Linked DNA regions of Schizosaccharomyces pombe. The gene in region 1 interacts genetically with each later gene. Each region holds a gene or a part of one and is shown in the gene's direction. Other genes may lie near its edges. The genes, in order: spo15 and cam1.

Region 1 (8,289 bases):
ATTTTTCTATGATCGGATCTGCTACGATTACAAAAACATATTACTAAAATATGAACTTTTTATTATTTATTATTATTATTATCTTCTAATATGCCTATCACCCCATTTCTTTCCGATTAAAAGAATCCGTCCATTTCATGAAAACCCACTCCATTCTTTTGTTTACCGAATAATGATCTCTAGCGAGGCCTAGGGAATTTCGCAGATATCATTCGTTATATCGCCAACATCGAGTGTGCTTCCATCGCCAACGTACTAAAACTTCGGTGCTAGCATAGCTCACATCAACAAGGTAGTCAAAGGTGCAAAGTGAAGAGAACATAATAGATTGTTCCGCGCAAAGTACCTAGGTTGCCCGAAAAAACTAAGACATTACAATTTGCATGGTTTCAAAAAAGAAATTTTTTGGTTTTTATCGATCTGGGCATATTTTGAGTATTTGAAACGCATTACCGTTATCCGGCCTTTTTTGATAGCAATTCGTAAAACAAACTCGGCAATGAATGCTGAAAGTTGCTCCTTAATTCTTTCCTATATCTCTTCTGCACCTGCGGGCAATCTAGTATTGAATTGCACTGCTACCACAAACAAGCAAACCCTCGAGGCAAACTTAAAGTCCGCTGTTTATCAAAGGTACCCAGAGTTTCTAGAAGATTGGACGAATGTATGCGTGCATATAATTCATTCCTACTTTCCAAAAGATGCTGATTATTGGAATGTCGACAAATTATATACATCGGTGAACCGAATTACCACACTCGAACAAAGTAAAGTTGTTGGGAAAGAAATAAAAAATGGCTTCACTTTTGATGCTGAAAATTCAACCGCTTCATTGGAAAATGGTAAGTTAAAATGAAAATGTTTTTCTTTTCTTTTTATTTTTTTTTTATTTATAGACTTTACTAATTTAGTCAAGATTTACAACCACAATTCAGGTCACACGCTTTGTTTATGGTCGGTTCTGCTGGTCCTTTGTTCAGTTCTACTGCTCGAACTTCCCGATTAGACAGTCGATTACCAGATGGAGGAATAATTGCAAAGCCAGTTGCCCTTTTGCCAACTCCATCCGTTGCTAATTCCCAAGAGTACACCTTGGATAAGTTATCCCCCCCCTCAACCGCCAAACCTCCTGCATCAGTTATAGAATTTAATCCTTCATTGGCTAAACTTCCTACTGTGAAGTACCTACAGTCTGGCCCCTTCTCCTCAATTGCTCCTTACAAAAATTCATCTTCTTCTGTTATTCCTGATTCTTCATTTCATTCTGTTGCTTGTTATCGGGCATCTAGTCATTACAAAGAGGCACCTGTCGAGAAGTCAATCGATATTGACATCATTCAAAACAATTTGAGTCTATTAGAAGAAGACTCATGGACTTCTGTACCTATTCAAGGGGAACTTGTTGAATTGAATAAGTTACTACAGCATCTTCAACTGCTTCAAAATCAAAGAATCACATCTCATAACGTACTCTCCGATGAGGAGCGCCAAATATCTGTGCAAGTACAAAACTTGATACTTAAGTTAGCAAAAGATTACGATATGTCTCCAGAAGATTTTCTTATGGACGATTTTACTCTTTCACTCACTCAATATGGCGCCTTTTATCGTGGAACTCTTCCTCTTAGTGCACAACCGCTGGAGCTTCCTTCACAGCAACTGCTACGCTCCCAGTCCAATGCTGCTTTACGGAGCAATTCCCTATCAATGAACGGCTCCTTAAGTCCAAGCTCTACAAATGTTCCTTTACAGTCTTATCGACGGACTACAAAATCACGTAGATGAATTCGTTCTCTATTTCCATGGTGTTACTTAAAGATTTTAGTTTAACTAATTAATAGATGTATATACATACATATATATATATATATTACCTTATTTATATCTCAATATATTGATGTATTTTTGAAACTTTTTTGTTCAACCACCCAAAAGCTAAATACCGATAAAACATGCCGATACCTTATCACTATTGCTTTGTTGCTTCAGAGAGTTGTCATTTCTAAACAACCCAAATCGTTTATTTACCAACGACAGATGTCGAATCAGTCGTCTTCTGGTTCGAATACTTCTGATTTGGATGAAGAATCAGCGAGTAGTCTTGTGAGCTCTGCTGCATCACCATTTATTGATTCTGATCTCGAAACACCAAGACCCAATATTTCAAGAGCTTCAACAGGACAACTTGCAGAAGACGGTGACACATCAAGTCAACATGAAGATTCCTCAGAGGAGTTAAAGCGTCAAGAAGTAAGGGGAATGCGTAGGCACAGTGACCTTTCAATTGATGCGAAATTAGGCTCTTCTGAAGGCTCAACTGCTTCTTCAGCATTACCTTTGACACCTCGTTCTCCTTCTAATGCCAGCTGGCTATTAGTCCGCGGTGGTTTACTTGATAGTCCGATTCTCGACATTAACTCAGTAACTCAAAAATCCAACCTTTTAAATGAGTTGAAGCAAGTGCGGTCCAAACTGGCTGCCCTTGAACATGAAAACGGAATTCTCTCCTTGCAATTGTCATCTTCGAATAAAAAGGATAAGAATACCTCAAGTGTAACCACGTTAACATCAGAGGAAGACGTGTCATATTTTCAAAAAAAGCTCACTAACATGGAGTCAAATTTTTCTGCTAAACAATCTGAAGCGTACGATTTATCGCGACAGTTATTAACGGTTACGGAAAAATTAGATAAAAAAGAAAAGGATTACGAAAAAATAAAAGAAGATGTTTCTTCTATCAAGGCCTCTTTAGCAGAAGAGCAAGCTTCTAACAAGTCCCTGCGTGGTGAGCAAGAGCGATTAGAAAAACTTCTTGTAAGCTCCAATAAAACTGTTAGTACCTTAAGACAAACAGAAAACTCATTGCGCGCCGAATGTAAAACCTTGCAAGAAAAGTTGGAGAAATGCGCCATCAATGAGGAAGATTCCAAATTGCTGGAAGAACTTAAGCATAATGTCGCCAATTATTCAGATGCCATAGTACACAAGGATAAGTTAATTGAAGATTTAAGTACCAGAATAAGCGAGTTTGATAATTTAAAATCTGAACGGGACACGTTGTCAATAAAAAACGAGAAGCTAGAAAAGTTACTACGTAATACGATTGGCAGCCTAAAAGACTCACGAACCTCCAATTCTCAATTGGAAGAGGAAATGGTTGAGTTGAAAGAATCCAATCGTACTATCCATTCGCAATTGACTGATGCTGAATCTAAGCTTTCTTCTTTTGAACAGGAAAATAAATCACTGAAAGGATCTATTGACGAGTACCAAAATAATCTTTCTTCGAAGGATAAAATGGTTAAACAAGTTTCTTCCCAATTGGAAGAAGCTCGTTCTTCCCTTGCCCACGCGACTGGTAAATTAGCAGAGATAAATTCCGAGCGAGATTTTCAAAATAAAAAAATAAAAGATTTTGAAAAGATAGAGCAGGACTTGCGTGCTTGTTTGAATTCCTCATCCAATGAACTGAAGGAAAAATCAGCGTTGATTGACAAAAAAGATCAAGAGTTAAATAATTTGAGGGAGCAGATTAAAGAACAGAAAAAAGTTTCTGAAAGTACTCAATCAAGCCTTCAGTCTTTGCAACGTGATATTTTAAATGAAAAGAAAAAACATGAAGTTTATGAAAGTCAATTAAACGAACTGAAGGGTGAATTACAAACGGAAATTTCAAATTCTGAACACCTATCCTCCCAACTCTCAACTTTGGCGGCTGAGAAAGAGGCAGCTGTGGCTACCAATAATGAACTTTCCGAAAGTAAAAACTCACTTCAGACATTGTGCAATGCTTTTCAAGAAAAGCTTGCAAAATCGGTTATGCAATTGAAAGAGAATGAGCAAAACTTTTCTTCCCTGGATACTTCATTTAAAAAACTCAATGAAAGTCACCAAGAATTAGAAAATAACCACCAGACCATAACCAAGCAGCTGAAAGATACTTCTTCAAAACTTCAACAGCTACAATTAGAGCGAGCCAATTTCGAACAAAAAGAATCAACCTTGAGCGACGAAAATAATGATCTGCGAACTAAATTATTAAAGCTCGAGGAGTCCAACAAATCGTTAATTAAGAAACAGGAAGACGTGGATTCTTTAGAGAAAAATATTCAAACATTGAAGGAAGACTTGCGGAAGTCGGAGGAAGCCCTCCGATTTTCCAAATTGGAGGCTAAAAATTTGAGAGAAGTGATAGACAATTTGAAAGGAAAGCATGAGACATTGGAAGCACAGAGAAATGATTTGCATTCTTCTCTTTCTGATGCTAAAAATACGAATGCAATATTGTCGAGTGAACTTACCAAATCATCTGAAGATGTCAAGAGGTTGACTGCCAACGTTGAAACTCTTACACAAGATAGCAAAGCTATGAAGCAAAGTTTTACAAGCCTTGTCAATTCTTATCAGTCAATCTCAAACTTGTACCACGAACTTCGTGATGACCATGTGAATATGCAATCTCAAAATAATACATTGCTTGAATCTGAATCAAAATTGAAGACAGACTGTGAAAATCTCACTCAACAGAACATGACACTCATTGACAATGTTCAGAAACTCATGCATAAACATGTAAATCAAGAATCCAAAGTTTCTGAACTAAAAGAGGTGAATGGAAAGTTATCATTAGATTTGAAGAATCTAAGATCCAGTTTAAATGTTGCTATTTCTGACAATGATCAAATCCTTACCCAACTTGCTGAACTTAGTAAAAATTACGATAGTTTGGAGCAAGAGTCTGCTCAGTTAAATTCCGGTCTGAAATCATTGGAAGCTGAAAAGCAATTGCTACATACAGAAAATGAGGAGCTACATATTCGTTTGGATAAGTTAACTGGCAAGTTAAAAATTGAAGAATCGAAATCCAGTGATCTTGGTAAAAAATTAACTGCACGGCAAGAAGAAATTTCAAACTTGAAAGAAGAAAACATGTCGCAAAGTCAAGCCATAACTTCTGTGAAATCTAAACTTGATGAAACTTTGTCAAAGTCTAGCAAGCTTGAAGCAGATATTGAACACCTGAAAAATAAGGTTTCCGAGGTTGAAGTTGAAAGGAATGCTCTTCTAGCTTCAAATGAACGTTTAATGGACGATTTGAAAAATAATGGTGAAAATATCGCAAGTTTACAAACAGAAATTGAAAAGAAACGTGCCGAAAATGATGATTTGCAGTCAAAACTTTCTGTTGTAAGCTCGGAATACGAAAATTTGCTGTTGATTTCATCCCAAACAAACAAATCTCTTGAAGACAAAACTAACCAATTGAAGTATATTGAAAAGAACGTTCAAAAGTTATTGGATGAAAAGGATCAAAGGAATGTCGAGTTGGAAGAACTAACCTCCAAATATGGCAAACTTGGCGAAGAAAATGCCCAAATTAAGGATGAGTTACTTGCCTTGAGGAAAAAGAGCAAGAAACAGCATGATCTTTGTGCAAATTTTGTTGATGACCTAAAGGAAAAGAGTGATGCTCTCGAGCAATTGACTAACGAAAAAAATGAGTTAATTGTAAGCCTTGAGCAATCCAATTCTAATAATGAAGCACTCGTTGAAGAAAGGAGTGACTTAGCTAATCGTTTGTCAGACATGAAAAAATCCTTGAGTGATTCAGATAATGTTATATCTGTTATACGTTCTGATCTTGTACGTGTAAATGACGAGTTGGATACTCTTAAGAAGGATAAAGATTCTTTGAGTACTCAATATTCCGAAGTTTGTCAAGATCGTGATGATTTGCTAGACTCTCTGAAGGGTTGTGAAGAGAGTTTCAACAAGTATGCTGTTTCTCTTCGTGAGTTATGTACCAAGTCTGAAATTGATGTTCCGGTATCTGAAATTTTGGACGATAATTTTGTCTTTAATGCTGGAAACTTTAGTGAATTAAGTCGCTTGACTGTTCTGTCTTTGGAAAACTATTTGGACGCTTTCAATCAAGTAAACTTCAAGAAAATGGAATTGGATAATCGATTGACTACTACCGACGCTGAATTCACCAAGGTTGTTGCTGATTTGGAGAAATTGCAACATGAACATGACGATTGGTTAATTCAAAGAGGAGATCTTGAAAAGGCACTGAAGGATAGTGAAAAGAATTTCTTACGGAAAGAAGCCGAGATGACTGAAAATATACATAGCTTAGAAGAAGGCAAAGAGGAAACCAAAAAAGAAATAGCTGAATTGTCCTCAAGGCTTGAAGACAACCAACTTGCTACAAATAAGCTGAAAAATCAACTTGATCATTTAAATCAAGAAATTCGCCTGAAAGAAGACGTTTTAAAGGAGAAAGAAAGTTTAATCATTTCATTGGAAGAAAGTTTAAGTAACCAAAGACAGAAAGAAAGCTCTTTGCTGGATGCTAAAAACGAGTTGGAACATATGCTGGACGATACGTCGCGTAAGAATTCTTCATTAATGGAAAAGATTGAATCGATTAATTCTTCTTTGGATGATAAGAGTTTTGAGCTCGCTTCGGCTGTTGAGAAGCTTGGTGCCCTGCAAAAGCTTCACAGTGAGTCTCTTTCTTTAATGGAAAACATCAAGTCACAGCTACAAGAGGCAAAGGAAAAGATTCAAGTAGATGAATCAACTATTCAAGAGCTCGATCATGAAATTACTGCTTCTAAAAATAATTATGAAGGAAAACTAAATGATAAAGATTCAATTATTAGAGATTTATCTGAGAATATTGAACAATTGAATAACTTGCTTGCAGAGGAAAAGTCTGCTGTAAAAAGGCTGTCTACCGAAAAAGAATCAGAAATTTTGCAGTTCAACAGCCGCTTGGCAGATTTGGAGTACCATAAATCTCAAGTTGAGTCAGAATTAGGTCGTAGTAAATTGAAGCTGGCTTCAACAACGGAAGAATTGCAATTGGCTGAAAACGAACGATTATCCTTAACCACCCGAATGTTAGATCTTCAAAACCAAGTCAAAGACCTTTCTAATATAAAAGACAGTCTAAGCGAGGATCTAAGAACGTTACGATCGTTAGAAGATTCTGTAGCAAGTTTACAAAAAGAATGCAAGATAAAATCTAATACGGTTGAATCATTGCAAGATGTATTAACAAGCGTACAAGCCCGTAACGCCGAATTGGAAGATGAAGTTTCTCGTTCAGTGGATAAAATAAGAAGAAGGGATGATCGATGTGAGCATTTAAGTGGAAAACTTAAAAAACTGCATTCTCAGTTAGAGGAACAGCATGAAACTTTCTTTAGAGCTGAACAGCAGCGTATGACACAATTAGGGTTTCTCAAAGAAACAGTGAAAAAGCAAGAGAAGCTTTTGAAAAAACTAAACTTAAGGCAAGAACAGTTAATTCCTCGCTCTTCAATTTTAGTTTACGAATCGTATATTCGTGACATTGAAAAAGAAATTATAGTCTTACAAGAACGTCTAAATGGCATTGAGCTTTCGCAACAACTTCCGAAGGGCTACTTTGGGTATTTCTTCAAAACTAATCGCGTCGAAATGGAAGTGTTGGATAGTTTCAAACAACAAGTCGCTAAATTACAGTTCCTTGCGGGTGCGGAATTCATTGTCAAATTTAAAGAGGATCTTGAAAAATGCGCTGCAGAAGAAAAGGAAAAACAAGCTACATTTGACAATTATTCTGAGAAGGTTGAAAATCTTGGGAAATCGATTGAAGCTTTGTATTTTGCACTAAATCGAGAAATTAGTTTCCGAAAGTCTTTAGCGTTGTCTAAATCAGCATATCACAATCTTTTGGTTCGAGATTCTCCCAAGTTTAACCCAGATTCCCAAATTACTTATAGTATACCGGTTACCAATACCAAGCAGTCATTGTTACGTTCTGCAATATTATGTGTCATATCACTGCAACGTTTGAGATTATTAGGTCAAAGACATTCTTTTTGTGAAGAGGTTATCGAGAACCTCTCTTGTGTTTAAATGATTTACTAACAACTACATGATTGAGGCTATTTTAAGGTTTGCTTCGATAAAAAATAAATTTTAAATTTATTTTTCATTACTATGAAGCATATAATGTTGACTGAGAGATATAATAAAATGGTTTTGGTTAAGGCATTTGTATTATAAAAATTTAAAATCGGTATTGCGGAAAGAATTCTAAAAATAAGGAAAGTTCGCTTTATCGTAGTTTATAGTTTAATTTATCAAATCGCAGAGGCTCACATTAATTAAATAATAAAACCTGTAATATCAACTGACGTTTTCACTTTTTTTATATTCCTTCATCTAGTTGAGCAAATGGAAGAAAACGCACGTAGAATTACAGCGGAAGATGCGATTCGCCTTGTTCTACAC
Region 2 (4,222 bases), 820 kb from region 1:
AGCTTGGAAAGCTGCATAGTCGGCTTTTGTTTTGAGTTGTCGTTGATCAGCTTGCTTGGAGCGGTTTGCACTTGCTGAGTTTTTATCAACGATGTCAAACAAGTCCATGGCATTTGCCAAGTCAGAGTCAATTTCGGCTTGTCGCATAGCTTCTTTGGAACTTTCTAGTGATTCTTCCTTCGCAGCTGCTTCACTTGCTTTAATGGCTTTTTCGAAATTTCTTTCCTGAATTTTTTGTTGGATACGAGTCATTTTGTTAGAGCCTTGATCATTTTGGCTAGATGAAGAGGATTTTTGGGATACTGAATGAGAATCATTTTGCAAGGATTCTTTGTTTTCTTCTTCATCTTCATCCTCTTCGTCGTCAAATCTCTTTTTTGGCTTGGAAGAGGATTGACTATCCTTCCCTAAGGGGAAATCAAACTCTGCAGGCTTTGCAGGATCTTCTACTAAAAAGTCCTCTTCATTTCAGTTAATAAACATGTAGAATCATATATAGCTTACCCCAGCTATCCATTTGGAATTCACTTGATGGTTTTTACAGTCTACTAAAAAGGTATGTGGTTCAATAAGGAATTTATTGTAGTTGCACAACAAAATTACGAGATGAATTGAGTAGGAAAATATTCAAACACACGTACTGATAGAGTTCAACAATAAATACTTTAAATTCTCGATCATTCTTATTATTTTATTTTTTATATGTTTATTTTTATTTTTATTTTTTTATTTTTTTTCTATGAAGGATATGAGTACCTCGAATTATTAAAAGTTAAACTTCCCATTTCACAGCATTTTATTAAATCAATTGAGATTTATAAATTTGAATCTTTTAAGGAATTATACTCAAATTTTCATGGTCATTCTGTAGAGATGTCTTTAAACAGGAAGTGCAAAAATTTAAAATTATGAGAATAAACTATAAAATCTTTAAAAACAAAAGACGTCTAAATTTATGATTATTAAAGACAAAAAAATGCTCAATTTGAATTTATTTTTTTATTTTTTTTTGTGTTACATCAATAACAACAAATATTGTTTATTCGATTAAAATATCCGTTCAGACTAAAATCAATAAATTCGGCTACGGTCATTGTATCAGATGTTGAGGTTCTGGATTTTTATACATTGAATAAATCATTTAGAAAAGAATTAATATCGAAATATATACAGGCAATGAAATCCTGCTTGAATAATATATTGTTATTTACTTTTTCAGTTTTCCTTCTTCATTTGAGTGTTCAACTAGAAAAATTATCAGATCAAAATTGGCATATACAAAAAATACAAAAGCAGATTATGCTACACAACAAAAATGCAATTCATAATAAACGTGCAAAAAAACCTTTTAATGAACTGCACTTATCAAAAATGCTTTTGTTTAGCAAATTTTTCAAAGCTATGTCATTTTGCTCAATTATTTGGAGACTTTAAACCGTGACAGTGTTTGTAAATCTGCTCAATAATTAATTTTCCATAAATCAAAATGAAAACAATATTTTCATATCATGAATAATAATATCACTAACTCAACCTCATAGAGGAAAGTGAAAAACACGATTTTCTGTTTACATTCAGCAAAAAATTGCGCTGTAATAACCATTTCCAAATACTGCATTTACAAATATTTTTTGTTAAATCCTTTTGCGATTTAAACATCGAGTACGATATATAAGTTGAATGTCGACAACGTTCCGTTGCGCTATAGCATACTACGTTGTGTATCACTAATTATCACATGTTTGATTTGCTCTGTCAAGCTGTACATGATAAGTTACTTAGGTAGATTACTAAGAGTTATAAAATGAATAACAAAAAAAATAATAGAATGCTTAAATTTTATGAATTGAAATAAACAAAACCTCGTTTCTCTATTCACTTTTATGCTAATTCGGTGATAGGTAACAATATAACCTCTATATCAGAATATCATTCTAAGTTACTAAATGTATTTACCTGTGTACCATAATACAATAGGTCACAAGTAAACCACACGGCAGTTCTAGGTGTCGTTAAATAGATACCAATAAATGCGTAGCTGACATTGAAAAAGTTCCTTCATCCGCCGTTTAGTGGTTTTAGTGCGGTTTATAGCAAGTACGTTACTGGTTTGTTAGAGCATATACGATAATGTAATAAACTCTCATTGTTTGTTGACATCACTGTTGATGGTAGGACTTGCAACATTAGGAAGCGACAACGGTAGTCCTCATTTCTCCAAGGCACTTTAACGTAACTAGAGCAAAACACTAACCGCCAAAAATAAAGGTTAAAAAAAGGAATAGAAGGACTTTAGAGTTACTGATTTTTACCAGAAAATGGTATGTTTATTATATTGTTTGGACATATTCCGATTTTTCCTTTGAAGATTGACTAACAATCGTATGAACGGATGACACTCAGAAAATGATTTCTGAAGTCGTCTACCGTATCGTACATTATTACAGACTACCCGTAACCTTACAGATGAGCAGATTGCAGAATTCCGTGAAGCCTTTTCACTGTTTGATCGTGATCAGGATGGAAATATCACGTCCAATGAATTGGGTGTAGTTATGAGATCGTTAGGTCAATCGCCTACTGCCGCCGAATTACAAGATATGATTAATGAGGTCGATGCCGATGGTAATGGCACAATTGATTTTACCGAATTTTTGACTATGATGGCCCGAAAAATGAAGGATACCGACAACGAAGAGGAAGTTCGCGAAGCCTTTAAAGTCTTCGATAAAGATGGAAATGGATACATTACAGTCGAGGAGTTGACTCATGTGCTTACAAGTCTTGGTGAACGTTTGTCTCAAGAAGAAGTAGCCGATATGATACGTGAAGCCGACACCGATGGCGATGGTGTAATCAACTACGAAGAATTCTCTCGTGTCATTTCTTCCAAGTAGAAGGGTTGGAATTTCTGTGGAATATTTGTAAGCCTTAAAAAAATCAAAATATCCTTGCTGGGGTTTCCACCCTTTTAGTTCTTCTTTATAACCACTCTCCATCGCAATTTGGACAATCTCTTTACCAACTTAACCTCGGCTATTGTCCTTTACTTTTTTTTTCGTCTATGATTTTGAAAAACATTAGTTAGTGTATTACAACGTTTTGGTTGTTTATTTTGCTGGCCTAGGTGTGTCACAAAAGTAACTATGGTAGCATTTGTTGTTACCATTCATCTCATGATCGATCCTATGAATTTTAACGCTTCCTTTGTTTCAACACATAAAGGAATCCTTAAGTCTGGGAACATATACGTTATTGCTATGAGAATACCACGCACTTTTGCATTATTGCATCCTACAATGAATTATTAGAAGCTTCATCTGTCTGTTATATGATGCATTTGCTCGTACTAGTATGTGCCTAGTACTCGCTGTATACGTTGCATTTATGTCCTTGCAATTCCCATGCCCATTATTTAGCTCAATCTTCCTTTTCTTTTTTCCTTCAAGATTTACTGTTCATTATACTAGTCGATGTTAAAATTTTTAGCATTTTTCTAGTTATATGCACTTCTTGAAGCCGTTTTCTCACTCTGGTAGATATACGCTTTGTTTTGTACTTAATACATTACTTTATACAAATACATCTCTCAGTATGAAATTTTGTGCGGCACTTGTCGAAGCTAAGCTATACGTATTAACTAAACATAAATTCATAAATGACATCGTTTATTTTCTTTTTGCATTTCACGTAGTTATTCCGATCGTAAACAGAAATTCATCATTGGAATATGGACATTTCCTAAGAAGGAAGGCTCTGCGCCGGTAAAGTTCAAGTTAGTGAAGTTAAAACTTATCTAAAATTCAACATCATGGTACATATATATTCAAAAAGTTTTTACAAAGTTATCAGTTCTAAACCTCAATGTCCTCCTACTTGCTATTCAAGCCAACCTAACTTCCTCTCACCATCAACCACCCGCTATATGGTTTCGTATATCCCTTCGCCGTCGAAAACTTGTACCTAACTATACGAAATTTTCTTCTTTAAAATTGCCAAAAAAAAAGCTTCGAGTTCTATACTGCGCTGTATTACATAACACTTTGGAATCAAGGGTTAGCAATTACCATAACTAAATTAATTATAGCTCTATGTCGAATGGAAATGATAATTCTCTAATTATCAAAAATATTGGGAATAATGAATTTAAATTTGTAGAAACGCTTCACGAATTATTACCAGAAGATATCACTTATGATGATTTGGGTTCATTACGACTAAG

Evidence for each region.
Region 2: of spo15 (region 1) and cam1, changing one suppresses a phenotype caused by changing the other (phenotypic suppression), as found in Schizosaccharomyces pombe (one study listed by BioGRID).

What each region holds. Positions count from the first base shown.
Region 1 is NC_003424.3:625,052-633,340, reverse strand, and holds spo15 (mitotic and meiotic spindle pole body protein, gamma tubulin complex linker-related Spo15), read left to right. Parts: upstream 1-1,995; 5' UTR 1,996-2,037; coding exon 2,038-7,911; 3' UTR 7,912-8,168; downstream 8,169-8,289. Other genes in the region: SPOM_SPAC1F3.08C (uncharacterized protein), read left to right, coding at 1-193; RSC complex subunit Rsc58, read left to right, coding at 500-842, 917-1,785; gga21 (adaptin family protein), read right to left, coding at 8,255-8,289. UniProt on the Schizosaccharomyces pombe protein: Has a role in the initiation of spore membrane formation.
Region 2 is NC_003424.3:1,442,612-1,446,833, forward strand, and holds cam1 (calmodulin Cam1), read left to right. Parts: upstream 1-2,238; 5' UTR 2,239-2,318; coding exon 2,319-2,321; intron 2,322-2,447; coding exon 2,448-2,897; 3' UTR 2,898-3,722; downstream 3,723-4,222. Other genes in the region: tif310 (translation initiation factor eIF3j (p35)), read right to left, coding at 1-461, 505-517; GARP complex subunit Vps53, read left to right, coding at 4,092-4,222. UniProt on the Schizosaccharomyces pombe protein: Calmodulin mediates the control of a large number of enzymes, ion channels and other proteins by Ca(2+). Among the enzymes to be stimulated by the calmodulin-Ca(2+) complex are a number of protein kinases and phosphatases.